Callithrix jacchus: one gene and its partners. The protein of the gene in region 5 interacts with the protein of the main gene of each other region in a biochemical or structural test. Links are inferred from orthologs where the notes say so. Each region holds a gene or a part of one and is shown on either strand. Other genes may lie near its edges.

Evidence for each region.
Region 1: the proteins of LRRK1 (region 5) and SNX9 form a complex in vitro, tested with the Homo sapiens proteins (2 studies listed by BioGRID and IntAct, with this or other methods). The link is inferred for Callithrix jacchus from reciprocal best matches to the Homo sapiens genes LRRK1 and SNX9.
Region 2: the proteins of LRRK1 (region 5) and VGLL4 form a complex in vitro, tested with the Homo sapiens proteins (2 studies listed by BioGRID and IntAct, with this or other methods). The link is inferred for Callithrix jacchus from reciprocal best matches to the Homo sapiens genes LRRK1 and VGLL4.
Region 3: the proteins of LRRK1 (region 5) and SNX21 form a complex in vitro, tested with the Homo sapiens proteins (2 studies listed by BioGRID and IntAct, with this or other methods). The link is inferred for Callithrix jacchus from reciprocal best matches to the Homo sapiens genes LRRK1 and SNX21.
Region 4: the proteins of LRRK1 (region 5) and BAG2 form a complex in vitro, tested with the Homo sapiens proteins (2 studies listed by BioGRID and IntAct, with this or other methods). The link is inferred for Callithrix jacchus from reciprocal best matches to the Homo sapiens genes LRRK1 and BAG2.
Region 6: the proteins of LRRK1 (region 5) and CWC15 form a complex in vitro, tested with the Homo sapiens proteins (2 studies listed by BioGRID and IntAct, with this or other methods). The link is inferred for Callithrix jacchus from reciprocal best matches to the Homo sapiens genes LRRK1 and CWC15.
Region 7: the proteins of LRRK1 (region 5) and RET form a complex in vitro, tested with the Homo sapiens proteins (2 studies listed by BioGRID and IntAct, with this or other methods). The link is inferred for Callithrix jacchus from reciprocal best matches to the Homo sapiens genes LRRK1 and RET.

The regions. Positions count from the first base shown.
Region 1 is NC_133505.1:164,754,382-164,758,084, reverse strand, and holds part of SNX9 (sorting nexin-9), read right to left. Parts: intron 3,004-3,703; coding exon 2,900-3,003; intron 1,363-2,899; coding exon 1,259-1,362; intron 1-1,258. UniProt on the Homo sapiens protein: Involved in endocytosis and intracellular vesicle trafficking, both during interphase and at the end of mitosis. Required for efficient progress through mitosis and cytokinesis. Required for normal formation of the cleavage furrow at the end of mitosis.
Region 2 is NC_133516.1:68,852,610-68,856,839, reverse strand, and holds the start of VGLL4 (transcription cofactor vestigial-like protein 4), read left to right. Parts: upstream 1-1,423; 5' UTR 1,424-1,886; coding exon 1,887-1,968; intron 1,969-4,230. UniProt on the Homo sapiens protein: May act as a specific coactivator for the mammalian TEFs.
Region 3 is NC_133506.1:41,082,222-41,085,592, reverse strand, and holds the end of SNX21 (sorting nexin-21), read right to left. Parts: coding exon 2,736-3,371; 3' UTR 2,186-2,735; coding exon of another isoform or gene 2,067-2,185; 3' UTR 697-2,066; downstream 1-696. Other genes in the region: ACOT8 (acyl-coenzyme A thioesterase 8), read left to right, coding at 300-494, 2,067-2,185. UniProt on the Homo sapiens protein: Binds to membranes enriched in phosphatidylinositol 3-phosphate (PtdIns(P3)) and phosphatidylinositol 4,5-bisphosphate. May be involved in several stages of intracellular trafficking.
Region 4 is NC_133505.1:65,540,421-65,544,867, reverse strand, and holds the start of BAG2 (BAG family molecular chaperone regulator 2), read right to left. Parts: upstream 2,801-4,447; 5' UTR 2,429-2,800; coding exon 2,316-2,428; intron 1-2,315. UniProt on the Homo sapiens protein: Co-chaperone for HSP70 and HSC70 chaperone proteins. Acts as a nucleotide-exchange factor (NEF) promoting the release of ADP from the HSP70 and HSC70 proteins thereby triggering client/substrate protein release.
Region 5 is NC_133507.1:8,921,426-8,925,128, forward strand, and holds part of LRRK1 (leucine-rich repeat serine/threonine-protein kinase 1), read right to left. Parts: intron 2,968-3,703; coding exon 2,117-2,967; intron 1,687-2,116; coding exon 1,585-1,686; intron 1-1,584.
Region 6 is NC_133511.1:45,351,597-45,355,733, reverse strand, and holds the start of CWC15 (spliceosome-associated protein CWC15 homolog), read right to left. Parts: upstream 2,898-4,137; 5' UTR 2,790-2,897; intron 1,525-2,789; 5' UTR 1,517-1,524; coding exon 1,386-1,516; intron 534-1,385; coding exon 421-533; intron 117-420; coding exon 28-116; intron 1-27. UniProt on the Homo sapiens protein: Involved in pre-mRNA splicing as component of the spliceosome. Component of the PRP19-CDC5L complex that forms an integral part of the spliceosome and is required for activating pre-mRNA splicing.
Region 7 is NC_133513.1:35,800,684-35,804,386, reverse strand, and holds part of RET (proto-oncogene tyrosine-protein kinase receptor Ret), read right to left. Parts: intron 3,511-3,703; coding exon 3,254-3,510; intron 2,755-3,253; coding exon 2,607-2,754; intron 648-2,606; coding exon 540-647; intron 1-539. UniProt on the Homo sapiens protein: Receptor tyrosine-protein kinase involved in numerous cellular mechanisms including cell proliferation, neuronal navigation, cell migration, and cell differentiation in response to glia cell line-derived growth family factors (GDNF, NRTN, ARTN, PSPN and GDF15).

The DNA of each region.
Region 1 (3,703 bases), on a different chromosome or scaffold from region 5:
GGTATGGGTGTGTTCCAATAAAACTTTATTTACAAAATAGGTGGCAAGCCATATTTGGCCCTCCGGCTATAGTTTGCTGACTCCTGATGTAAGGCTTTGGATTTTCAGATCTGGATTGAATGAACAGTAATATTGCCATTGTCTTTCCTGTGCTATCTTACTAATTCATCTATGAGTCATTCCACATTTAGTTTTCTGCTCTTCAAAATTATTATTGGATTTCAAATTCTGACTGTTTTCCTTTAGTATAAAAACCCCACCTTAAAAAAAATTAACAGATCTCTTTTCCTCTGCTGAGCATCAAAGGGCTGATATATATTACTCATAATTCAAAGTATAAACCATTAAAAATTTTTAAAATGGAATATAACTAATATTTCTGTACAGTGTTAGGAGGTGAAGGCCAGAAAATTCTTAGTGATAGATTAGAAGTCCCTTTTCTCCAGAGGTTGAGACATAGCAACAAGGGCGGACCAGACAGAAAGGAGAGGAAAGTTCTAGTACTCTATGGTAGTCAAAGACATCTGGGCATTCAACAGCAGTGGGATCCCAGCATTTCAGGGCCTGACAAGTCATTCTGCAGCCTCTGTGCCTGAGGGGGTAACAGGGCAGCAGCCCGCAGCATTAGCCCCACAGCTGGATACATGACTGTTTTTCTATCCTGGGCCACATGTGTGGCGACAAAGCTGCATAGTTCTGGGGAATACAGGAAAAACGTTCAGCAGAACCACAGCCTACACACAAAGGAAAAAGAGGGAGGCAGGAAGCTCTCAGGGACAGGGCAGCGTGGGCAGAAAGCCGGGACTCATAGTGACACCCTCCCCTCGGCAGTGCTTCTGCTCTGACATATTTTCTATAACTAACTATACTTTTTTTTTCCTTAAAAATTATGGCTTTAGTCAAATATACAACATCTTACCAAATGAAGATTAAAAATAAAATGAGACTAAATATAGTGACAAGCACTCTCAAAACAGGCAAAAATGATAAATTTTCCGAAGATTATAAAGCCCTAAATTACTGGACCTAATTAAGTGAACATGGTGTTCCTTATGAGACTTCTTAACCTGGCTTTGTTAGTCAATTTTTTTGTGGTTTAACTTGGGTGAAGTGAGGTTAAGCAGTCACAGGAGGGACGTTACTGCCATCCACCAAACACATTTCTGTTCAAGGCATCAGGTTCCCTCTATGATCAGGGACACAAAACTGAGCCTGCATCACCACCTACAGCCCAATCGGCTGTGAGGAGTGGACTTACGCCCTGTGCACCGTTTCCAGTGCTCCTGCCCCACGGTCAGCAGCTCCTTCACACCATCATCCATGGCCTTGGTGAACTTCCCGACGGCCTCGCACTTCTGCTCTCTGTGGGCAAAGGCAGCCATCAGTCACATGAGCAGGAGAAACAGCACTGCTGTCGATCAGGGACACGTAGGCCAAACATAACCACAGACACTTGTTCTCCTGCATGGTAACAACTGCCCTGGCACTAAGTTAGCCTTAAATACAGGCTTGATACAGACGTTTGAAGAACTACTTAAAAAGCAGTTATTATTTTAACTTTGCTTCCTTTCTTCCTCTTCAATTCTTTGTGAATTTTAATTATAATTATTCTAAAGTAAATAATAACTTCTTGAATATCTCATTTAGTAAAATTCTAATCACTGGAGGGACCATCAAATCTATAAAAGAATAACGGGGTTGCTAATGCCAGCTGGTCACTCATTCCAAGTACTCCACGAAATAGACAAAAACCTGGATGCATAATCAGCTAAGTGACCCTAAAGGTACCAGTTCTTTTCTTTTTTGAGACGGAGTTTCGCTTTTGTTACCCAGGCGGGAGTGCAACGGCGCGATCTTGGCTCACTGCAACCTCCACCTCCTGGGTTCAGGCAATTCTCCTGCCTCAGCCTCCTGAGTAGCTGGGATTACAGGCACACGCCACCATGCCCAGCTAATTTTTGTATTTTTAGTAGAGACGGGGTTTCACCTTGTTGACCAGGATGGTCTCGATCTCTTGACCTCGTGATCCACCCGTCTCGGCCTCCCAAAGTGCTGGGATTACAGGTGTGAGCCACCGCACCCGGCCCAAGGTACCAGTTCTTAACAAGGATGTCAAAGCGTATTTACCAACCTGAAAAGATCACAATACTGTTAGATGAGAAAAGCAGATTATAAAACAAAATGGAGAGTGTGAGGTCATTTCTGTTTAAACAATCTTTCCTGTAATTGTGTACAGAGGAGGACTTGGGAGACTATACACTAACATATTAACACTGATTTTCTCTCTGGGTGGTTGAAGGGTTATGTTTGTGTGTGTGTGTGTGTGTGTGTGTGTGTGTGTGTGTGTGTGTGTGTTTCTTGTCTATACTTTTGGTAACACATACGCAATAATTTTATGATAAAAAAGCTTAAAATTAAAAAACACAAATTTCTTATAAGTCCTTAATAGAAAAGGAACTACTCCAAAGTTTCAACTGAGCCTGTATTTAAAAACTAAATAATAAAATCAATAGATTAACAAAAAACCACATAGAAAAAGCAGGTTAGAGACTGCCTCCTCAAGGCCATGTTCAAAGAGATTTGCTGTCTGAATACTGTGTGGGTTTTAGGCGGCTCCGTGCCGCCTGGTTTCATCACACTATTGGAAACACTACTCAACACCGTCAACTACGAAGTCACTGGCTTCAAGGTAAAAGAAGTTTAATCTGATGTTATGGTTAGAAAGACAGTACTTCTATGTACAAGCGATATTTCCCTTGTCATTGGACTACAAAGCCCACTTATTTCCTAAAACTCTAGTCTGACAATTTGAGTTTCAGCTGCGGCTATCCTGGTTGAGGCCTGAAAGCCAAAGGAGGTTGTGGATTGAGGAAAAGGAAAACCTGGCAGCGCCTCTCACATTTCTACTAGGTCCAAGTCAGGTGCCTCTGGCTCCATGGTGGAAAATACCATGACTCCCGCCAGCTCATCTCTCTCGGCCTTCCTCTTTCCAGTTTTCCATTCCTGTAAATGAGAATGTGGTAAGGTTCAAGTGGAGAGCACAGTCAAACTGGTCTCCAAAATTCCCAAACAAGACCAGTTCAGTGATCACCTTTGTCTTCCTAATTTCAGGAAGCAGCTCCCCTCTATCTCCCTCTGCACCATGGGCTAAATGCCTTTATACCCCAAATGTCATCTTAGGGCACAAACAGTGTCATGCCACAGAACGGCCCTCATGGGACCAAGTCTTTTCGAACCAATTCAGCCATGTTCCCTTTCCAATGGCTACCTACATAAATACGGCAAATAGAAACACCCTATACTTTTTTTTTTCCTGAGAAAGGGTCTCACTATGCCCGCAAGGCTGGAGTGCAGTGGTGTGATCTCAGCTTACTGTACCCTTGAACTCCCAGGTTCAAGTGATCCTCCCACCTCAGCCCCCCAAGTAGCTGGGCCGTTAGGCATGCGCCCCCATGCCTGGCTAATTTTTGTATTTTTTGTAGAGATGGGGTTTTGCCATGTTAGCCAGGCTGGTCAGGAACTCCTGGGCTGAAGCAATCTGCTCACCTCGGCCTCCCAAAGTGCTGGGATTCCAGGCATAAGCCACTGTGCTCAGCCCACCCGATGCATTCTGACCAAGTACCTCAAATGTTTAGGTTAACTGTTTTCTGAAAAGGTAAATGCTTTTCTAAAATATAAGCTAGAAACCAGTATTAGGGCCTAT
Region 2 (4,230 bases), on a different chromosome or scaffold from region 5:
CCAGGAATTACTGTTGGAGCAATGACAACAACAGTATTTGGATATTGTATGAATTTCCAACTAAGATTTGATTAGAACAGCTGGCCATGAGTGTGCCTAATACACCCAATGCAACTATTGTTGGATTTTTAACATACAATTCCTCCAAATAATTTACTCAAATATTATTTTAGAATATTTAAAAAATATTTTTAGGACATTCAAATGTTATTTCAGAGCTTTTTTTTTTCTATTTTGTTAACATGCTCTTCATGTGCTGAAAACTGAACATTCAGTGATTCACTCATACTCATTCAGTAAACAGTTTTTGGGCCCCTAAACTTGGTTGTGCTAGGCAATGGGTATTCAAAGTTTAAGCCCTAAGTCCTTACAATAGTAAATAGCACAGCTGCATGCCACTAGCTTCTTACACACAGGTGGGTGCCATACAAGCAAAATGAAAATAATTTTACCCCTTCCCTCTATAATCTCAAGTGCACTTTCAATTTTTGATACTAGAGCCTTATTTGCTTAAACACCTTACATCTCTTCTTCTCCCCTCCTTGTCTGTTTTTTTTTTTTTTTTTTTGAGACAAAGTTTTACTGTTGCCCAGGCTGGAGTGCAGTGGCGTGATCTTGGCTCACTGCATTCTCCTCCTCCCAGGTTCAAGCAGTTCTCCCATCTCAGCCTCCTGAGTAGCTGGAACTACAGGTGTGCACTACCACACCAGGCTAATTTTTGTATTTTAGTAGAGATGGGGTTTCGCCATTTTCGCCAGGCTGGTCTCAAACTCCTGACCTCAAGTGATCCTCCTGCCTCTGCTGGGAATACAGGTGTGAACCACTGCACCCCGCCCCCTCCTTGTTTTTTAAGTTATAACATTAGGTGGGGAATAAAACATTGTAAAAGTAGTTCTGTCAACTACTTTGGGGGCTGTGGGCCAGTCATTTAATCCAGCTGAACCTCACTTTTCTCTGTTGTGAATAGGTAATACCCTCCGTGCCCTGTCTATCTCAGTTGTTACGGGGATTATGAAAGAAGTTACATCTGACATTAACATCAAAAATTTAAATATCCAGTGAAAGTGTAAATGGACATTATAAAACATTAAAAGAAAATACCTAGATATGTGTGACTAGTGCATCACTACCTTGGGTTTCTGAAGCTCCACCGAGAAGTTTCACGAAAGTTGCATTCCATGGAAGTTTGCTTCCATGATGGATTTTTTTTTTACTTTGTACTCAGCTCCTGAAAAAGAAACTTCCTGGGTTTTCTTTTTCCCTCCTACGGTTTTGCAGCGGCCGAGCTGCTTCCTGTCAAGAGCCAGTCTGCCAAGGCCTGGTCTCTAGAGTCTCTCCCCCTCCCCTTTCTCTTTCTGTCCAACACTTGCTACATTGAGAGGCTGATCCTGTGCAGAAGCCCTCCCTGCCTCGACCGCGCGGCGCAGTGAGCATGCTCAGCCTCCGCGGGAAGAGGAAGCGGCCGCATCGGAGTCATGCCAAGCATAGCCCGCATGTCAGCGCTGCCGGCTTGCAGCGGGCTGTGAGCGGGGCCGGCGCCGCTTTGTCCTAGGAAACGGGCTGCGCGTTTCTCTTTTTCACCCTCTTCCATTTCCAGGAAGGACTTGTAAGGACTTCTGAAACGCTTTTTTCATACTCGATCGGTGATAAAGTACATACAGCGTCTACCAGTAAGCCCTTGAAGGGTTTCGTGTGAGCTCGATTTTTTTTGTGTGTGCCTTTTAAAAAAAAAAAAAAACTTTTGCATACTTTGTTTTGATAGTCTGAGGCTGGGCCTCTGCTTTGTGAAGTTGAAGAGCCAGGAGCTACTCAGCAACAATTGATTTTTGAAACTTAACTCTTTTGGGGCGAAAGCAAAGAGCTGGTTTTCTTTGCTAGCCCAATAAATGCTATTTATGAAGATGGACCTGTTGAACTATCAGTACTTGGACAAGATGAACAACAATATCGGCATTCTGTGCTACGAAGGTAGATGTCCCGCTGTAGAATTACTGCCCTTTGCTCGTCTCGGCCACTCCTCCTCAGTGTGCTGGGTGCCTGCCTTCTGAGCGCCTGCTGTCCTTTTCGGGGCGGTAGGGCGCTGGAAAGGCCGGCGTTTTTTAGGTTCGGTTCAGCACCGGGTGTGTTCGGATCTCAGGCTGCGAGGGGCGGTGGAGGGGGCTGGACGGGCGGGCGGTGAAGTAGAAACCGTTCCAAGTTTGCTTTATGCTTGTAACGTACTTATTCTTTTTGATTTCCGCTAATACTGTCTTTAGGGGAAGGACTTGTAGGAAGCTGTTAAAAGTTGAGGCTGTGTTTGGGGGAGGGACTGGTGGGGATTGCACCGTCCACTGTACCCTGCTGTGGGCCACAGCTCCCCGCGGCTCACGGAGGGAGAGCCAAAGTTAAGAGAGTTTCTGTACTCGCGAGTGAGTGTCCCAAACAGCGGAGAATGTCCCTCTCCCGCGCAGGGCTGGAAGGGCAGGGAGTCAGCAAGCACAGGCCGGCTCTTTGTCTCGCTGGCGCTTCCTGTGCAGCCCGGGGAGCGCTGACATTGGCGGGGGTGGGGGTTGGGGGTGTTCCTCGAGCTCTGCCTCCCTGTGGGAGCGATTACACAACAACACCCCGACCCCCAACCTGCCCCAAAAAAGGGAGAGAAACCCGCGCTGAGTTCTTATTTATTACCTCCCACCGCCCGCGAGGTGCTTCCCCCGCGGCCTGTATTTCAGGCTGTCTCTGGTAGCAGTAAGAGAAAATCTATTTCTTAATCTGTTGGAACATCCTCTACGTGCGATTTGAAAAAGTGGCAATGGCCTGGGTTTGCCGCCGAGAGCCATCTCCAGGGGAGTTCGGCCTGGCAGGAAGAGTATTTTTTGTTGTAACCACACACACATCCGGGACTCTCTCATTCAGCAGGAGCAGTTTCCATTTTTTCTGCAGTAGTAAACGGGACATTTCTCTTGAAGAAAACAGAAAAACTTAGGAGGGAGATTGACTTCTATTTTTTTACTCTAAAAACTTCAGGCCTATTTCCTAATCAGTTGAAAACTTACCCTTTACCGAGTATTTTTCCCCTTCAAAGAAAAAAAGAAACCTCATTCACGTTTTTTTAAAAAAACTCTGTGGATAGGGATCTCATATTTAACGTTTTTTAAAAAGGTATTTGTTTACTCCTAGTTCTTGTTATGAGAATTTTGGTGAATTGCTTTCTTTGCATCTGATGAGTTAAGTAACATCTTGCATCTCAACTCACTTTAAAAAGGCAGACGACTTTAGAAAGCCATCAGCAGCCATTACTGGGCTTGTTTCCTGTGAAATTCACATATTGCAGTCAGGGTTTTGTTTTTGTTGTTTTTTTTAACCATCTCCCCTTCCCCCAACAAGAAAGAAAAACTTTTTAGGCAATTTCTGATGTATTGACCTTGCCAACAAGTAATATGATATTTTAAAAACAAAACAAAACATAATGGCCTGAGAGAAATATAAGATTGTTAGGAAATTGATACCAGATAGCAGATTAATTTTTCCTGTCTCTGATTGGTGAGGACCAGCTTATGGACAGCGAGCCCAGGTCGAGTTGTTGTATAGCATGCAACACGCTGGAGAGTTGAGGGCTTGGCTTCTCTTCTCTTCTTTTTTCTCTTTTCTCTTTTTCTCTTCTCTCTTTTCCCCCTCAGTATTTGGGAGGAAGAAACTTTGATTTTGAAAGTTGAGTAGCTATATGGGATAATGGGCTAAAGTTTGTTTGGTTTAAACATCTGCTCCTATTTTCCTTATTATGAAAGTTAACATTATTTTAACACCAGAATAAATACACAGGAAATGAAGGAAAGCACAGCAAAATTTGAGTGGTGTTTATAGTGAGTTGTTGATGTCCTAGTGGTTTTCTCAGTGTAAACACTGCACACATCTGGTCTGAACTCCAGAGGGTGTTTTGAAGATGGGCATAAATCATACACGGGATTTTTTTGTAAGAAAAGTTGGAAAGGTTATGTTTCTTTTAAATCCAACATTTGGACTTGGGGAATATTCGTTTTAAACATATCAGCTCCCCAGCATTCCAGGGAAGTTGTTTGGAAAATGGAATGTACTCTTGGTAGGCAACATTTGATTTCATTTAGGGCACAGTAAAGTTTCATGCCCCTTAAAATAAGGGACAAATTAATTTCTTGTCATTTTAGTTTTAAAAATTAAGATGCAGATGGTTAATTATTCTTACTAGCTAAATTATACCATCTTCTTTAGTTGTAT
Region 3 (3,371 bases), on a different chromosome or scaffold from region 5:
TCTGTGCAAACTGGAGGAAGACACCGCTTTGGGGGCCCAGTGTGGGAGACCTGGGTAGTGAAGACTGGATTTCAGTCCTTGCTCTCCCCTGTCCTCCCCATGTCCCCATCTCGCTTATCCCCTGTCTCTCTCTCTCTCTCTCACACACACACACACACACACACACACAGAGTAGGCCAAGTGCTCTTGTGCAGCAACCAGTCTGCACATCCATGCATGGGAGTCCCTTTTTCCCTACCTCCCTGCAGGTCCTGAGCTGGAAAGCCCAGGAGCCCAGGGCTGATGGGGATCTGTTGCAGGTGAGGGCGACATGAAGATGCACTGCTGCGTGGCCGCCTACATCTCTGACTATGCCTTCTTGGGCACTGCCATGCTGCCTCACCAGTGCCAGCACAAGGTGCACTTCATGGTCTCATTGGACCATTCCATGTGGTTCCACGCCCCCTTCCGAGCTGACCACTGGATGCTCTATGAGTGCGAGAGCCCCTGGGCTGGTGAGTGTGGGGCCATGTGGGACAAGGGCACTGACCTTGGGTGGCAGGGAGCCTGCTTTCTTGGGTGATGCTGACTTTCCCCGACTTCCTGTGCGCTGCACAGGTCACCTCCTTTCCTTCCCTCCCAGGCGTGGGCATCTTCATCTTCAAAATGAGAGGGTGAGGCCGGGACACAGCTCTGCTCTAAATTTCTAGAACATGGTGGGAATGTCATTCACTTTAATTCAGGGACCTATTTCTAGTCCCAGAACCTCTTCAGATTCTCTGTATGACATTGGGCAAATCGCATCTTTTGTCTGAGCCTCAGTTTCCCCATCTAAACAAAAAGGGTTACATTACAGCAGTGGTATCTAAACCCGGCAGCCCATCAGACTGCCATTTGGGGAAGGTTTTTCAAAATAGATTCTGATTCCACCCTCAAGATTCTGACTCAGTAGGTCTTGGATAAGGTCCAGGAAACTGTATTTTTCAGTTCTCTAAGTGATTCTGATTAACCTGATTGGGTTCAGGGCATTCAGTGGTCTCTAAGGGCCTCATTGCTAGGACATTCCTTGTAGCGGGGAGAGAGAATTGAGACTCATTCATTAATGTCTAGCTTGAGAACCCTGACCTCCTTTCCAAGAGAGTAAATTTCAAATGAAGAAAAGCTTTGCTTGATAAGCCAAGGACAAAACTTATGGACTCTTTATACTCAGATAAGGGGTACTCTCAAGTATCAACAGCATCACAGTCCAAGACTGATAACTTTGAGGTGAGGACATGGGTTCATATTTGGCTTCAGCCTGGAGCCAAATTCCTGACCCCCTCTGGATTTCAGTCATGGTCTGGAAAACTGGACAACACATAACAGCTTCTCTTGGCTACTACGAGACAGAGTGAGCTCTGCTATGTGTAAGGGAAACCAGCAATCATCCCTCATAAACATCAAACTCAGGCCCCAAGCCAGCAAGGGAGAAAGAATCTTCAGGTGGGGAGGGAAGAGGCCAGACCTCATGGCCTCAGGTCCTCTCTGCTGAGCCCCTTCTTCCCCTTGGTAGTGGTAATAGGGGTATTTTTCATGAATTACCGCTTGGAGAACCTGGCTTGACTTATTATACAGGGAGCCGATAGGTTTCCTAACACAAGCTGCCAGAGGTACAGAAGTTCTGCTTGGCCGAGCTGTTGAAGGAGACTGTTCTCAGAGCTCCTCCCTCTGTGATTTTTTTGAGGAAGTGAGCGAATATGTGAAAGTGCTTTTAAAATGTCAAGCGGGGTTCCTGTGGGAGGAGTTACTCCTCAATGACTGTCCATAAGCTCATGAAGGGGCATTTGGAGCAGCCACAACACTCACTGTACCCTTGTGTTGGGCAGCCCTGTCCTGGGCCAGACCCTTTTCAAGAAGTCCACTTGGAGGTCGGGCATGGTCATGTGTGCCTGTAATCCCAGCTGCTCAGGAGGCTGAGGTGGGAGGATCCCTTGAGTTTGAGACCAGCCTGGGCAACATGGTGAGATTCTGTCTCAGAAAAAAACAAAGAAGTGCATTTGACTGTTCTAAAGTAGAGAGACCATCCTTACCCTTCACCTCACCCACAGGTGGCTCTCGGGGGCTGGTCCATGGGCGACTGTGGCGTCGGGATGGAGTCCTAGCTGTGACCTGTGCCCAAGAGGGTGTGATCCGAGTGAAGCCCCGGGTCTCAGACAGCAAGCTGTAGCCAGAGGTACCAGCTTGGCCTAGGGGTTCAATAACCTAGCTGGTTCAATACTACCATTCCTGGGACAGGAGTTACAGTCCTGCTGGCCCTCACATCCAATAAAGAGACAGATACCACTGGAGTGGCTGGCTTTTAATTCCCCTGGGCCAGACCTGCAGCCTTGCCTTCCTCCCTCAACTCCAGGGGCAGAGTACCTGACCTTCAGCCAGGAGGCCTCACCGGCTTGGGGGCCAACCAACAAGGGAACATTGCCCCCTGACCTGTGCCACAGCTCCCAGCTGTTTGTTTATAAACTGGAGAGGCTGTGTCAGACTTCTTCCCTGTACTAGGATAGTACTATCCTAGGGCAACTCCGGCCAAAGCTCATCCTGAGCCCAGCTCAACACAAGTAAGTTTCTTTGATCTGCTTCACATTCTCTTTTGGAACTTCTAGGGGCTCCCAGCACCCCCTGCAACTTCCCAGCTATTCTGTCCTCATCAGGTCCTTCCCCTGCATTCTGGGGCAGCCTCTCTCCCCATAGTGGCCTTAAATCTAGGCAAGCGTCCTAGATTAGTCCAGCACCTCCTTGATGAGCAATTCTTTCAGACTGGGGGGTGGTGTGGGAGTAAGGCCTGCCTCCTGCAGGGCTTGGAGCCGAGCCTCTGATTGACGTTTGTCCAGGCCCAGGTGCCAGGAGAGCCGGACATGGGCCTCCAGAAAGGGTGCCAGCAAAGGGTGGAGGCTCTTGTCCCCCAGCAGCTGCAGGGCCTTCTCACAGCAAGCCCGGGCCTCCCCAGGGTTCTCCAGCTCCTGGTGGCACACAGCCAGCCCAGCGAGGGTCAGCAGGGGGCGGTCTGGGCCAGAGGGGGTGCCCAGCTGGGCTTGCAGCTGCCAGGCATTGGCCCAGAGTGCCAGAGCCTCACGATAGAGGCCAGTACAGGTGAGGCTCTGTGCCCGCCGCAGCTCTGGCAGCACGAAGAAGTCCTGCAGGTCCGGGGCGTGGCGCAGCTCCGGCACTGCCTGCAGGTGACCCAGAAACTGCTCAAAGGCCCGGCTACGGCGGGCAATGGTCTCTGCAGTAAAATTACGGCGCAGGCGCTTCCGGGGGAATGAGATGGCAGCCATGGGGCCCCGGAATTGCCGCTGCAGGTTTCGGTGCAGCCGCTCAAAGTCCGAGTAGCGGCGAGAGATCTGGGCTGGCTGGCG
Region 4 (4,447 bases), on a different chromosome or scaffold from region 5:
TTAGATAAATTCCATTAGAGATAAATAAAAACCTTTAACAGTTAGTAGAACTGCTGTCAAACATTTTAAATATCATGTAGGTCAGTTCATACTCCAGGTCACAAAACATTTGGCATAATCCTATTTTCAGTTTCATAGGGAAGAAATTTCTTACTCAATTGATAGGACCAATGTGGTTAGGGAACGTTAAGTGCACACAGCTAAGTACAAACTGTAAGGTTTTATTCTACCCAGTTACACTACTTTATTACTCAACATACAATCAAACTACTAGAGCAAAATTACATAAGAGTTTCCTAGTTTCTTTTAAAAATCAACCTTGTTGTACTCATGATTCTCGTTTTAATAGTGTAGTGTTCTGTGCCATTGCCCATGTGGTTTCAAAAAAACTTTAATAGGATCAGTATTAGCATTTTTTCTCTATTTTTGCTTACCTTCAGAAATCCTTTTCAGCCAGTACTACTTTTTTAAAAAGAAGAAAAAAAGCCTACAAAAGTCTAGAACTACTAAAAAAAAAAGGCCTTGAAACAAACAGCCACATATTAATCAGACTTTTCTCAACTCAAATATTAAGCAAGTTGTAATTTAATCAGTGATGTGCAGTAATCAGAATTCATTTTACATTAATCAAACATTAGAATATAATAATCTTCAAAACCTGAGGCTTTATTTTAAAGAGGAGCACTTCAGAGTGCTTTTGTACCTACCACATGTGAGGCATTTCAAGTTGGAGGACAATGACTCCGCTTGAAGGAAGGCAGGGTGGAGTAGCATCCTCCCTATTCCTTTAGGAAAAAATCTTTTCTTTCTAAGGGAGAGCCAGAGTGAAGTGGTTGAGAACATGCCCTTAACATTCTTAAGATATGGAGAAGTGTGGGTTACTTGTTACGTGGCTCCCTAAGGAGAAACATTATCAGTTGGAGGGACTTCAAGTAACTGAAGCCACTAATTTCTGCTTTCGCTCTACTTTTCCTGGGAGTGGAATGGGTCAGGTTTGCTAGTACATAGAAAATCCATGAGGAAGCATTACTTCTCTCTTCCACTTGCCTAATTCTGAGTGGAACCCCAAAACCCGGCGTAGGGCTGAGGTTTCTCTGCTGCCATCCATGAAATTATCGTGAGTGGAGAATCTCTCCCTCTCTGGCTCTTTTCTCCCAGTAGTAACAGTAACAGTGCCTCACTAGTTAAGAGATACCGTGGTTATTGAAGTATTTTCTCGGCAAACGGACACTTCATGCTTGGGTATACTAATGGAGGGAGATAAAGACACACACAGAGTGTTTCCCCAACTTTTTGGCTCACATGCCTCTGCTCATGCACAACCTAGAGAAAAAGATGGAACCAACTCCTGTGTACAGATTCAGGGGATTGCAGGTGCCTAACACGATTTTCTTTTAACTACACTTGTTCACAAAAATTTCACAGGAACTTGAAACAAACATTCAACAGGAAGTATATAAAACTTTTCAATACACCGTTAAAGTCCTTCCATAAATCTATTAACATTAAATTGTTTCGAAATTCTACGCACGTCTACTTCTATATTACCTAATAAAATCTTAAGCAAGAAAAGGAGAAAACTACCTTTTCATGCTTTCAGGCCAGAGACTATCACTTAGTCTTCCATGCAGGGAGGTGCCCAGTACGGAGAAACTAACGGAGCGGCTGAATACCGCCAGCGAGGTTAGGGGAGACAGGGGAGGCAGCAACGTCTTCACTGCACTAAACACCCAGTAACCCTACCACCCACCCCTCACCCCTCTCTAATCTGCTCTCAATGGATCGCGGGGTTGGTTTTGTTTTTTTCCATTTTTGCTCCGAAGTGCTCTGAAGCAGGGAAACTTAATTTCACGTGAAGGGCCACTGTAAACTGCTGCCTCCTTTAAAAACGCATACGGGAAAAGAGTAAGTTAAAAACATCTGGGGCCACACAGAAGGTTCTAGAAGTTCTGCAGACCCCGGCTGCCACAGTCCTTAATCGCATGGAATCTCACCGGGACTTTTATATCCTCTGATTTTTTTTCCCACTCTCCAACACCCAGGTAAGTCAGAGTGTGGCCACTGATTACGCCCTCACAGGTTTAGCTTAAATCGAACGCGTCCTCTGTCGGACTAGGGGAGAAAATCCGAGAAACAAAACTGCTCCACGTCCATCCACCACAAATCTCAACAGGAAACTTCTGCGGCCGCCGCCTCACTGTGCCCCAGACCCCGGCCAGCCACACACGGCCTCCGTCCGCGAACCGCGGCGCAGCTAGCAGGACGCCCGAGACCGCCCGCCCGTCAGCCCGCTAGCCCGCCAGCCCGCCGCTCACCTGAGCTCCAGCTGGTCCAGGCTCTCCAACAGGCGGCTGGAGCGGTCGGCCATGGAGGAGGAGCGGCAGAAGCGCCCCTCGTTGGCTTTAGCGTTAATCTTCGCTTGAGCCATCTAAGCTTCTGACGTGGGGCAGCCGAGAGGTCACCGGCCCCTCCGGCGGCGGCGAATGGAGCGCTCCTGCGGCTGCAAGCGCTGCCGTCACTACGCGGGAGCCCGCCCTCCCCGCCTCTGACGCCCGCGGGAGCAACCCTAGAGGACCCGCTAACACCGCGGCTGCCGCGTGGCCAAACAAGGGCAGGCGCGGCGCCCGCGGGGCTCGGGGATGCCGGGCCAGCGAGGGAGCAGCCGCGGCCGGAGGAAGAGGTGCGCGGACCACGAGCGCAAGGCTCTGAGGCGCCAGGAGGGGCGCACGCAGAGACGTAGCGCTTAATGTGGTCTGCCGGGTCTGCCGCTTGTCTCGTCAGCTCCTCAGACCCAGGAACTACCCGAAGCGCGCGCGGACCCACAGACCACCCCCAGCTCCGCCCTGCGAGGCCCCGCCTCTCCGTGCAGACTAAAAGTAACCAACTCCCCCCACGCGAAGGTTCCTATCGGTCGATGGGCTGTGGGTGTATTGCTCAGTAATGGGTTCGTTTAGTTTCTCCCAGCACCCATAATTCAAAGCAAGAACAACGACATTTGAGTCCTGTGATATGGGGAGAAAACGGCCTTATGTAAAACACAAGGCAGTACAGCTTCTAGGCAGACTACACGCACCTGACCTTCCTATTACCACTCTTTCCTGAGATGAGTAATGAAAGCACCTACAGCAACTGAAGCTTTGAAAAAGAAAAAGCTATTCCATCTCTCCTTGTCTAGCTAGATGTGGGAAGCAAGGTGAATATATTTCATTTTTACCATTCTATTTTGAATTTGAGACTGGGTCTGTCACCCAGGTTGGAGTACAGTGGCACGATCACGACTTAGTGCAGCCCTGACCTCCTGGGTTCCATCGGTCCACCCACCTCAGCCTCCCAAAGTGCTGGATTACACGCTGGGCTTAATGAAGGGGTTTTTAATTTTTGCTATTAAAATTATGCCTGTTAAGTGAACCAAGATCTCGCCAACTGCTTCACACCAGCCAGGGCGACAGGGCGAGACTTTGTCTCAAAAAATAATAATGATAATACTTCTGAGTGAAATAATTGGTATTAAGGAGTCTTCAACTTTTAAAAATCTTCTGTTAACAAAAAGATGCAGAAGGCCTCTAGGTCAGGCATGAGCTGTAGTTGACAAAAGATGGAGTAGAGCTGAGAGTATAAAGACTGGACTACTTAAAAAGTGAGGCTTTGGTCCCTCTCCTGATAGCTCTATGCCTCTCATTGCAAGGATGAAAATCTACAAGGCACAGAAAATGATAGATAATAATAGTTTAAAGTTGAACCACCACCTTTAATCAAAGAGATCAAAGCAGTTTAAATACTTGAACAGAGTTGAAGCCCTTAAGGCTGGATCCCAATTCCCTCTGAACTCATTCTAAATCCTAATTAACTATTGGGGTAGGGGATTATTTGACCTTATTAAAAATACTCTGTCATGACACAAACGAAATCAAAACACATTTTGTGAGTGGTCTGAAAGCCTATCAAGTGACTTTGGAATCATCCTGAACTCTTTTTCTCTCATAGCCTACCTAGATCCAGCCTATTAGTAAATCCCATCAATTTTACCTTCAGAATCTATCTAGATTCTTCCCAATTATACCCCACCATTCTGGTTCAAGCTACCTGGTAAGATTGCACTTGGAGTACTACAATAACTTCCTCTCTGGTCTCCCTGCTTCTACTCTTGTCTCTCATGTACATATTATCTCAGTGCAGCAATTACAGCAATCCTAAATAAGGGAGATCATACCATTTATTCTCAGAAACTCTCAATGGCTCCTCACCTCAGAGTAAAAGCCAAGGTAATCAGAAAAACCTCAAGGAGTTCATTTCATATTACTCTCCTAACTCATCCTGCTTCAGCCATACTGGCCTTCCTGCTTTTCCTTTAACATGCTAAGCTCCTGTCTGCACCTTACTCTCTTCCACCTGGAACTCTCTTCCCTATATGTATTTTCATCCTCACTCCCTCCCTTCTTCAGGTCTT
Region 5 (3,703 bases):
CAATCAGATCAGGCATCCTTGACTCGGTCCCCAAAGGGTCTTGAAAACACCCTCGACCCAAATGTCTGCTTGTGAATGGCTCATGACCGCATTTAACTCAACTCCCTTGCCACTAAGCTCCCTGTGATTCTTCTCTCCTTAGGAAATGCAGGATCATATACTACATGGGAAACCTACTGCCCCAGTCAGCAGTACGTTTTTGGAAACTGGACAGTTTTGCAGGACCGGTAGATGCGCAGCAAGTTTCCTTTTGGGCCACAGTGTGGCCTCCCTGCCCTGGGGGTGCCCCACCCTGAGCACCTACTAACTGCCCTTCCTCCTCTGTGCTGTGTGTGTGTGGCCTGCACAGCGCCAAGGCGCTCCTGCAAATTGGGATGTCCAGAGGCCTCTACTCCACATGGCCTTGCCAGGGCCCCCTTTAGACTGGCTTCTGGGGCCTCTTTCTCCCTGTGGTGGGAAAAAGGTAAAATCTGGCTTTAGGGGACAGAAAAGCAGCAACAGCTAAAGGTTAGGATGGTAATGGCAGGTGCGCCAAGGACCTGGGTGCTGCACACCCATTTCCTCCAGAAGCCCGACCTGCAAGCTGGCAACTCCATCAGCTCCTGGCTGCCATCCACGGGCTCCACCAGAGCTCAGGAGCACATCCAGATCTTGCTTCCAGAATCACTTACAGAGCAAGGGTCACTGGCCCAGGACTCACTGCAAAGGTTCAAAGCTGGTGGGCACGGGAGTGGGATGTCATGGTTGCTGCCTTGGTCATGGTCCCGCTCTGGGAGAAACACACTGACCAGGGTTTCTTCACCCTCTTATGCTCCAGATGAAATAAAAACCCACTTGCCCACGGATGGGGATAACGCATGCTGCAGGGAAACAGGCCTAGTGCAAAATGGAAGAGCTCCAAGGTACACACACACACACACACACACACACACACACACACACACACTTGAGGGCTTCTCATAAGAGAGATTTGCCATGTGGGGCTCAGTTGTCAAAGTGAGGGGAGTAAACACGGTGTGGAGCTGCAGCTGGCACAGCCTCACATCACTCCAGCCACATAGACCATGTCCTGGACAGGCCGCTCTGTCCAGTACACCCTTGCAGAGGACACTGGCATGCCTCGTGGGGGTACCCACCCATAGATGGGTATACTGAACCATGCCTCAGCCCAGGAAGGGCAGGAGGTGAGACCCAGGCTTGGAGATGGGTATTCTGCAGGCTCCATCAGGTGCTGTGTGGGCAGACGGGCACCTTGGGCAGGGTTTCCTGCTTGGCAGGAAGAACAGGGAACCAATTGCCTGGATGCCTCTGCATTTCAGCTGCAGCTGAGCTCTGGCTCTGGAGGCATCTGTTAGGTAGGGTACCTGAGCTACAGGTACACTGGGTACTCCAGAAATAGGCAGCCATGGCCAGTGCAGAGCCACTAGGGGCTGCCTGGGGGACCCCATCTTGTCCCCACTTTGCCTTACGGCCACATTGGTGGATCCACTGTTTGTGAGAATGGACAGTGAGGGAACTGGCTGCGGGGGCCTTCCGTGCTCATGCTGCTGCCTGGGTCCTAAAGGAGCTGCCCCTCAGCCTTACCCATGTGGAGTCAGCTCTCGGGCTTTTAAGACGGCGATGACTCGGCCCCGCTGGGTGCAGGAATCCTTCTCCAGGCCAATGACGATAACATCTCCACCGTGCCTAAGAAACCAAAACCCAGAAGGGGAAGCATTTTTGTCCGCAGCCACGCTCTCAGGGGAGTGGGGCCAATGTGCAGAAAGGCGCGGGAGGGAGGCTACAGACGTGCAGTTTGTGCTAAGGGATTAAGTTACAGGGAGGGGACAGACCCCAAAGTAGAGGAGAATTTTCCCAGTGGAAACTGAATCACAGTTGACTGTGGCTTTCCTTGTGTGGTACCTTAAGCTCTCTGGCAGGCAATGAGCTTTGATGCGGCCACTCTTAGATTTGCGAAAAACGTCGCTTTGATTCCCAATGGAGGGAACCAACCCTCTTGGAAGAACAGCCCCTGCTGAGTCCCCACGTGATCTTTAAGGAAGCCAGGGGCTCTCCTTGCTCTGCTCACAGAGCAGGAGCAGTGGGCACGGCCTGGACAGTGCCTTCACCTACTTACCTGGGGACCCAAATGAGGTCTCTGACAGCAAGGATCTTCACGGCCTGCAGGTGCTGGCTGAAGGTCTCCCCGTCCATGGGCGTCAGCTCATGCTCAGACCTGTCGGAGGCAGCGCCAGGCTCGTGTAGCCTGTCCAAGTCCTCATAGTCAGTGGAGAAAGGCACGCTGGAAGAACTTTCTGGGGAGCCAGGCAGGCTTGAGGAGGACCTGGCAGCCTGATGGGGTGGAGATGAGGAGTAGGAGGACATGGAGCAGTAGTCGGTGAGCGATTCCTGGTGGGTCAGGATCTGCGTGCCCAGCTCTTCACTGTACATGATGCTCACATCCGCGATGGTGTCCCCCTCGGGCTCCTTTGGGTTGGCCGTGTGGCTGCCCGGGGATTCCATATCTAAGGGCCGCACAGGAAACGTGTCCCTGAGGGGGCTGGGGTCCCCGCAGAAATACCGGGCACACAGCTGGTAGGTGGTAGAGTGGTACATCACCAAGGAGTTGGCCTTGTCATCCAGGCACCAGACAACCTCCTCCCCCCTGCCCTCAGAGCTGCATACGACCGACGTCACCACGGAGGGGGCTGTGTAGGGTTCCAGCCGCCTGCAGATCTCCAGGGAGGCACAGTTGATGACAAGGAGCCCCGGCCCATTGCTGTACCAGACCTCAGAGCCACTGTTGACCACCTCCATAGCCTTTACCGGGTAGGGGTTCTGCCGGGCGTCTTCATCTGCAATGCTGAACTTGGACCTGTTGGCCGTGTGTGAGCACAGGTAGGAGCAGCTGTCGTTTGGGGTGCCCCGCACCACAGGAAACACAGCCACAAGCCCATCAGCGAGGCCCGCTAAGACCAGGTAGGAATTCTGCAGGGGGAGACAGGATCTGTCATGCCCTTCCATTTCACACGTTCCATATTCCAACAGAGACACAGAGTAGGCACTGCACTCATCTGCGCCCACACTGGGTGGGCAGGCGGCTTTCTACCAACACACCTCAGGACAGCAAAGCTCTCAGAAAACCAGGTCCTAAGGAAGTGCAGCTCTGGCCCAGCAGAGCCACATCTACCATCCCTGCAGCAAAGAAAGGAAGGTACCACCGAGAGGCAGGGCCTGTGGCACCAAGCGAGGTCGCATGTCACCTGGACCACATGGGTTGCCTCTGCTGGTGCCAGCTTCTTGCAGGGTGAGCAGCAGGGAGCTGCCTTCTCCTTGAGGCCACTGAGACCTCCTTGGCAGGACCTGGTGCCTGCCCTTTCTTGGGTGCTGCTTCACGTGACAGCAGTGTGGCCATGGCAGGCATCTGTGCACTGCCTCCTAGTCCTGCCTGCCACCCCACCAGGTGGAGTGTTCCATGAGGATGGGCCCCCTTCCCACCAGCATCCCCATGGCACTGGCCTGGCACAGGGAAGGGCTTGGTCTCCTTTATCTCTGTGGCCCTGTGACTCCACCTGGCTCCTGCCCCAGGTGGACATCATGTGTTGCTGAACTAATTCTGGAAGAAACCGTGTCCTATTAACCCTCTTATGGGGGCCTGTCTCAGCCTGCTGAGCCCTCATCCCGGCTTACATCTGTCTGAGATGCCTGCGGTCCAGCTGATGGT
Region 6 (4,137 bases), on a different chromosome or scaffold from region 5:
GAGATGAAAGGAGGAAACAAAACATACATCTGTTAGAGGGTCATCTGCATCAAGATTGGCAGCAGGAATCTGGTCTAACCGTGGCTTTTTTGACACTGAAGAGGAGGTTGTATGTTCTGGGGGAAACAAAAATCATTTAACTTAGTAAAACAAATACTGCATTTCTTACAATGTTTTAGGGACCTGTGGGTACAAAGAGCCCACATTAAAAGCATTTATGACAACAGAAATCATATCCACAGTGCCTGGCAAATATGCTTTTGGTAAATATTTGTTATTATCATCTCTAATGACTTAAATATTATAACTCACATCAAGTGTAAAAGCAAACAAATGGTTAACATTTTCCAGTTGCTACATGAAAGAAAAACTATCAAAAAGATAATTTTATGAGACAAATGTCTGGGATAGTGTTGGTACCTCGGGTTGGACGATCCCTATTTTTCTCTCTTGCAGCAGCTCTCTCTCTTTCTTCCAACTCTCTCCTGAAGTCACGGTTACGAACCTCTTCAGGGGCATCCTGAGTAGTTTGTCTAAAGTAAAAACGAGCCAGGGCAAAAATGTTACTTACACACACACACAACTGTAGTAATGGAAGACAATTCAAGAATGAGACTTTGTCCTTCAAGCATAAAAAAGGGAAATAGACAAGACCATAAGCTAATCTGAGGGTTACTAACAGCCACTCCTGTGATGTTCCCAATATTTCGAGAAATCCAAATTCAGTATTTTCCCATGATAAGGCTTTATACAGATTTTCTTTTTTTTTTGAGATGGAGTTTCGCTCTTGTTACCCAGGCTGGAGTGCAATGGCGCGATCTCGGCTCACCGCAACCTCCACCTCCTGGGTTCAGGCAATTCTCCTGCCTCAGCCTCCTGAGTAGCTGGGATTACAGGCACACACCACCATGCCCAGCTAATTTTTTGTATTTTTAGTATAGACGGGGTTTCACCATGTTGACCAGGATGGTCTCGATCTCTTGACCTCGTGATCCACCCGCCTCGGCCTCCCAAAGTGCTGGGATTACAGGCGTGAGCCACTGCGCCCAGCCGGCTTTACACAGATTAAAATATCTGTAATTAGTATTATATCAACTCAGAACAGTAACATTTTTAATATATTGACTGGTGCTGATTGTGCATAGTCTCTCTGAGGCATTATTATTTATATTATTTATTGCTCTATCTACATATGAAAATTCCTGGTTAGTAGGAATTTTGCATTTTAAAATCATAGAGCAAAATTTTAGTGTTAAACATCCTGTTGCACTCTATGTCTATGAAAATAAATAAGTAACATAACTCAAACATACTACTATATCATGACCATGTCATTTAACAGATTTGGTCTTGTTTTGCGAACGACAACAAAAAAGTCTTATTACCTGTATTTTATCTTTGTATGAGAAGGTAGGTCTCTGCTTGAATACTGCTTTGAAAGTTGGCTCAAATCACCTTCTCCTTTTCCTCTTCCACCCCTTGCAGGTTCAAAGGTTGGCCTGGCTGCAGTTGTCATCTTTTATGCTTTGAAGAAAAATAGTATCAAGTTATTTCCAACATTACGAACTCTCATTTTAGAGTATTAATCAATATCCATCCTGGTGATATAAGTTCTAAAACTCATTCCCCAAAACTTGCTTAATCTTCTTAAACAAAAGTTTTCAAGAAAAAAAATTATGAGGCTTAGGCAGTACAAGGAATATGGATTCCCAGACATGTCTTAGTACAAAAAATTCTGTCACGAAGATCTGAGTTTGCATCCCTATTCTTCTGACTCTGTGGGCTTCACGAAGTCACCTAGCTTAACTTTCTGTCATCAGCGGAATGGAGATATTCCTCCTAGGATTATTGTAAGAATTACGACACTTGACATGTCAAAACCCTTATAAAATACCGTACTGCCATGACTGAGTTTTAAAAATTCTCAGCTCAACCTTACTCCACCAAACTCTCTAAGGTTTGTATTTTATCTAAATTTCACACAATAGCAAATAGACTAACAGAAACAAAAGCCAAAAACAATTTTTAAAAAATCACTGACGAAGTTATTAAGTGCCCTAGGCAAAAGTGTTAAACTTCAATGACAGTTACATAGAAAAAAAATTCTTAAACAACCTTTTGTTGATCCAATTTTCTTCTACAACAGGCATCATATTATAACTCAGATCTCTTGTGGGTTATAATTTAAGGACTGTTCAAAAAAACAAGAACCTCGCCCCAGAGGATTCTAATACCAAAAACCAGGGACACATTCTTTATTTTCTGCTTGGCGCAATCACAAGAATACTGTCTAACAGATTTAGTTACTAAGACGCTGTAAGTGTCGGAAAAGTGTGTGGGAGGGTGGGTGAATTGGGAGGATTTGTTTTTTCGTTTTTTTTTTTTTTGGCAGGGGTCTATTTCTCTTGATTTCCGAAAAGGGTAGAGGCATGTCTTCAAAGAAGAAACAGGATTATCTGGCTCTGGGGGCACCGCGCCTTCCCACACGCCAACAGAATTATCACTCTGGCCTCCGGAGAGCTAGTCTTTGGCTATAACCAGAAACTCGCTACCTCTTCACCCGTGCCTAGCACTACAGGGATGCGAGGAGTAGTGAAGGGTGGACCTGAGGCTCGCTTTAAGCGGTAGGCGAGCTGCCTTTACGCTGCGATCTTAACCGCAGGCCTAGAGCTCCGGACGCGCCTGACAGGCACTCGGTTCCGCCCCTAGCGAGCTGCTTCAGGGCCTCCGCCGCCCGCGCTCAGCACTCTGCCACCAACTCCAATCCCAACTGCCCTTTCCCGTCCTACCGGGATAAAGAAGATAATCTGTTATCCTCCTGTCACTCACATTGGCCGAGGTCCGATGCAGCAGGCTCCGAATATCATACAGACGCCATTACTACGCTTGGCTCCCAGGAACCTCTGCGTTCAGGGCTAGGCCTATGACCCGGAAGCAAAACCCAAGCGCTTCTGAGGCGGAGATAACAACCAATCCGCAGAGGCCAAAGTGGAAGTTGGCGTAAGGGCAATAAGGGGCGGGGCCTAAACGGCCCAGGGGGCGGGCGTTTGAAATCAGTGCCTTAGAGTAGACCCTAAACATCATTTTATACCTTCAAGAACCAATTACTTAATGTCTCTTCCGTCTTTTCCGTCCCCGACCCCCTCCCAGACTCCATTCCGGTACTGCGTGGACGGAAAGCCCCGGGTAGCCGACACCACGTCCCCGGCTAGCGGGTTAGAGCGTGGAAAAGGATTACACCAAACTGTTTAAATCCAACGACTCCTGCTTCCATCCTGAGCTAGAACCAACAAGCCTAGAGAGTTGGGCTTCGGAAAAACTAGTGTTTTCATTTAATTGGATATGAAGAAAGAACAAATAAGTACGGGGCAACCACGATCTTTATAAAGGTACCATTCCTGCAAAAATATTACACTTCAAAGCAAAGGTTGTATGCGTAATGTTTGCTAAAATTTTTTTATTTAAAAAACGTTAGTTCTTGTGGGAGGGGAGATGTCAGTATTTACGACAGCGTTTAGAACGGTGGGCCCAACTGCCAGAAGCACAGTGTAGTTATTAAGATGGCTACTCAAGTGTTAAGTTTTAATAAGACAACGAAAAGGAGAAAACCCAAAAACCAAAAAACCCACCAATCGTCTCACCTCCCTTCCATAAAAAAATAAGTCAATCTGAGAACAGAGGTCTTGAATGCTTAGTTCATCTTGGTATATCATCACGTAGACCTTGACGTATAGTAGTTACTCAATAAATACTTGTTAAATGGAAATTCAACGTCCCCAACTTAGTTTAAAATGTAAGGAGCTCACAAAATTGAAAATTTAAATGCTTTCTTATCCCTAAATTCTTTGCAACTTTTAAATGAAGGGGAAAAAAAAAAAGCAGAAAAAGCCTTTTCACTCGTAAAGTTCAAGATGAAAATCTTGATTTTTCTTACCAAAGATATCCCTCCTCCAGTGTTAAACATCTCAGTAAAGGTCATCATATTAGTTACTCAAACCAAAATCCCAGAGTGCCTATTTAAATTTTTTTACCTTCACTCTTCACATACAGTTCATTTACAGGTCTTAACAACTCTACTTTAAAAACTTAACAAATTCTATTCTACTGCCACTACCCTTGTTCTTGCCAACACCATCT
Region 7 (3,703 bases), on a different chromosome or scaffold from region 5:
GTGCTGACAGGAGTGCCTACTGCACCCTCCCGGTGTTTCCTTATCCCTCTCACATGCACGCCAGGAAGCCCCTGAGTACACAGTGGTTTGGAAAACCAACAAACCAGGGCAGTCTCCTGGGTCTTTATCTGAGAAATGGTGACAATGCTCCTGCCATGCAGGGTGGGGTTGGGGTCACCTGGGGTCACAGCACACCTAGTGCCCTGTGGTACTCAGGGTACCCGAGTACCTGGGCCCTGCAGGCTCAGCCTGGAACTGGGTGAGGACACCTGGGATGTTACACCAGAGACTTCTGAGCAGCCCTGCAAGCTCAGGGAGTGCCTCTAGCACCGGGCTCCTCTGATGAAAAGTGCTCCCTCAGTCAGTGGACTCAGCTAGACACAAGCTCCAGGCTGGGGCCTGAGCCAGGCTTCCAGGAAGTGGGAGAACAGGAAACAGGGCAGGAGCAGCCAGAGAAGGGAGAAAGAGGGAGAAGAGGGCTGCCTGGAGCCCCCAGCCTGGGTGCAGGGCTGCCCATCCCACCCTACAGCTGGCCTTACCGTCCTGGCTGCAGGCCCCATACAGTTTGATGACATGTGGGTGGTTGACCTGCTTCAGGAGGTTGAACTCTGACAGCAGGTCTCGCAGCTCACTCGGGGAGGCGTTCTCTGAAATGCAGCACAGAGCAGGTTGCAAACAATCCCTCCTGGAAGCCCCTTCTATGACCACACCGGGTCAGGACAGACCGCATCACCTTGCCCAAGTTCAGAAAGAGAGGCCTGCAAGGATGATGCTGCTTGAGGCTTCTCCCAGCCTTTGGGGTCAGTGAACAGGGGCCACATCCGCCCTGAGGAAGAAGCACCCCAAGGAGCCAGCATCCACATAGGCAGGATCTTTCCCCAGAATGTCCCAGGTCTGGGCCACCTGTGTATGTAACATTATGTCCCTGCAGTCGCTGTCTTTAGAAGACAGTGGTCCATAGAAATCCCCCTCATTAATCCTTCTGGAAAGGTGAGGGGACTCCCTGAGGTACCCACACATCCGCTTGTGGGGAGAGGCCCTGGAGAAGGTGGAGAACTTTGAGCGAGGACCCCACACACCGCGACCAGTCCCCCTGTTTTCTGTCCCCATCTGAGACGGCTGGCCTGGAGGCCAGGAGTCCCCCATCCTGCTGATGTATCCAACACACATGCATGGCAGCTGCTCACATTCCCTCAGTTACCACAGAAGACCAATGTTCGCACCTGAGATAAAGCAGTGTTACCAGTGCACTGCACACCTGCCTTATTCTTTTTTTGAGAAAGAGTCATGTTCTGTAGCTCAGGCTGGAGTGCAATGGGGCCATCTTGGCTCAGTGCAACCTCCACCTCCCAGGTTCAAGGGATTCTCCTGCCTCAGCTCCTAAGTAGCTAGGACTACAGGCACATGCCACCACACCCGGCTAACTTTTGCATTTTTAAAAAATTGAGATAGGATTTCCCCATATTGGTCAGGCGGGTCTTGAACTCCTGACCTGGTGATCTGCCCACCTTGGCCTCCCAAAGTGCTGGGACAACAGGCGTGAGCCACTGTGCCCAGCGCCATGCTGGCTTATTCTTAATGAAAGCATGATTCTCTAGAGAGGCTAACTGTAGAGGCATGATGGAAAGAGGATGAGGCACCCTAGGGGTGGCCTGCCCAGTACATGTGTCCTGAGGGCGGCCAGAGCTGTGCTGGAACACCCAGCAGGTGCCTGGGCCTGAAGGTATTCCAAGAGTCAGAACACATGGCTAAGCCATCCCTCCCGGGTCAGCTGTCTCACTGCCCAGCTGTGCTGTGCCACCTCCTCTGTCCTGAAGGCTTGTCTGGAAGGGAGAGGACATCTGGGAGTTGGGGCCTCAGGACCCCTTGGACCAGCTGTGGGTGGCCTGGGGCTGTGTGTGGCTGCACTGGAAATCCAAGGGTCTTCCTGTGCCCCTGGATAGTCTGGGGTTTTACTGGCTTGGAGGTGAACCCAGTCTGAGGGGCTGGGTAGGAGTGTGAAAGCACCCTGTGCTGGGCAGCCCCCGACTGCTGCAAAGGATTCTCGTGTACACCAACCACTGTCCCTCACCACCATGCAGCCTGGCTGTCCACAGGGCTGGGATATGGCCACAGAAGTGGGGGTGGCCCAGTGCAGTCACCAGCCTCAAACATGCACGCCTCTGTGGGCAGGTGCATGTGCCCATCAAGAGCCAAACTTGTGGCATGACTAGGCATGAGGGCAAGATAGGCCCATGGGGGTCTCCTGAGATTGAGGGCCAGTCCTTACTGATGGTCTCTTCACCAGGCCCCAGGAGACAATGAATGGGAAAGACTGGAGTGAGGACAGCTCTCAGCTTAAAACCAAAAGGCTTTTTGAATGTTCGGATATTAGACCTTCAGTGGCACTGGCACAGCAGCACCTCTATAGCCTTCTGGGGGAGCAAAGGCCTCACTGCTTCTGTAGGCCCATGTGGCCCATGTGCCTATGGTAGGGGTTCCCCGACTTCAGCCTCTCTAGAACAGCAATGAGGGTTCTTTTGGAGGTCCCATGCTGGCAAGACGGGCCTAACCCCCACAACTCCAGAGACTCCCCCAGGTGTACTATGCCTGTGCCTGGCAGGTACCTTTCAGCATCTTCACGGCCACTGTGGTGTACCCCGCTCTGCCTTTTAGACGGAAGGCTGTCGCCTTGACCACTTTTCCAAATTCACCTTCTCCTAGAGTTTTTCCAAGAACCAAGTTCTTCCGAGGGAATTCCCACTTTGGATCCTCCTATGTTGGAAATGAGGGAAGGGGAAGAAGAGGGGAGAAAAGTGTGAGGATGACAGGGGAGGAAGAAGGCAAGCCCCCTAAAGGAGCCCCCATGGACAAGTGTCAATGTGACAAGGATCTCCCTGAGCCCCTGGAGAATCTGGGGTGCTTGCCACAGCCTGGAGGCTCTGAGCAGCATATGCAGACCTGTAAGCCAGGCTCCCCAGAGAGGCACCTGCCTCTGGATTCAGTGCCCCTCTGTTCACACTGCTGCTCCCCTGCCTGATGCTTCGGCCCTGACCACTGCCTCTCACCTGGATGGGAACAGCACTTCATCATAGTCCCACCCCACAGACTATCCGCACACAGTGCCCTGCAGAAATGGGGGCAGAACATGGGCCTTGTCTGCCAGCATCAGCAGCCCCTCATGGGACGGCCTCTGTATCCCCAGCTGGCCTCCCTCCCTGGACGGCAGCTGGGGAGGGTACAGGGGTCTTCCCTGCCCTGCAGGGACCCTCACCGGGATCTTGAAGGCGTCCACGGAGACCTGGTTCTCCATGGAGTCCAGTGAGGGCCGGCGGGCGCCAGACGAGGAGTAGCTGACCGGGAAGGCCTGGGCAGGCCGGCGGAAGGTCATTTCAGCTGAGGGGATGGGCGGCTTGTGAGCAAACTTGTGGTAGCGATGGATGCAGAAGGCAGACAGCAGCACCGAGACGATGAAGGAGAAGAGGACGGCGGCTGCGATCACCGTGCGGCACAGCTCGTCACATAGTGGATCTGTGGATCGGGTTGGTATGAGGTTTGGCAGTGGCAGGAGGTACAGGCTGCCCACGCTCCTCCGCATGGCTCTCCAGCCTGCTGTGTCCGCAGCAGCAGGAAAGTGGCCGTGGAGGGAAGGCCTGAGAACACCCCACCGAGCATGGGTACTGCCATGTACTGCCCCATCCTAGACTACTATTGTCCTCTTACA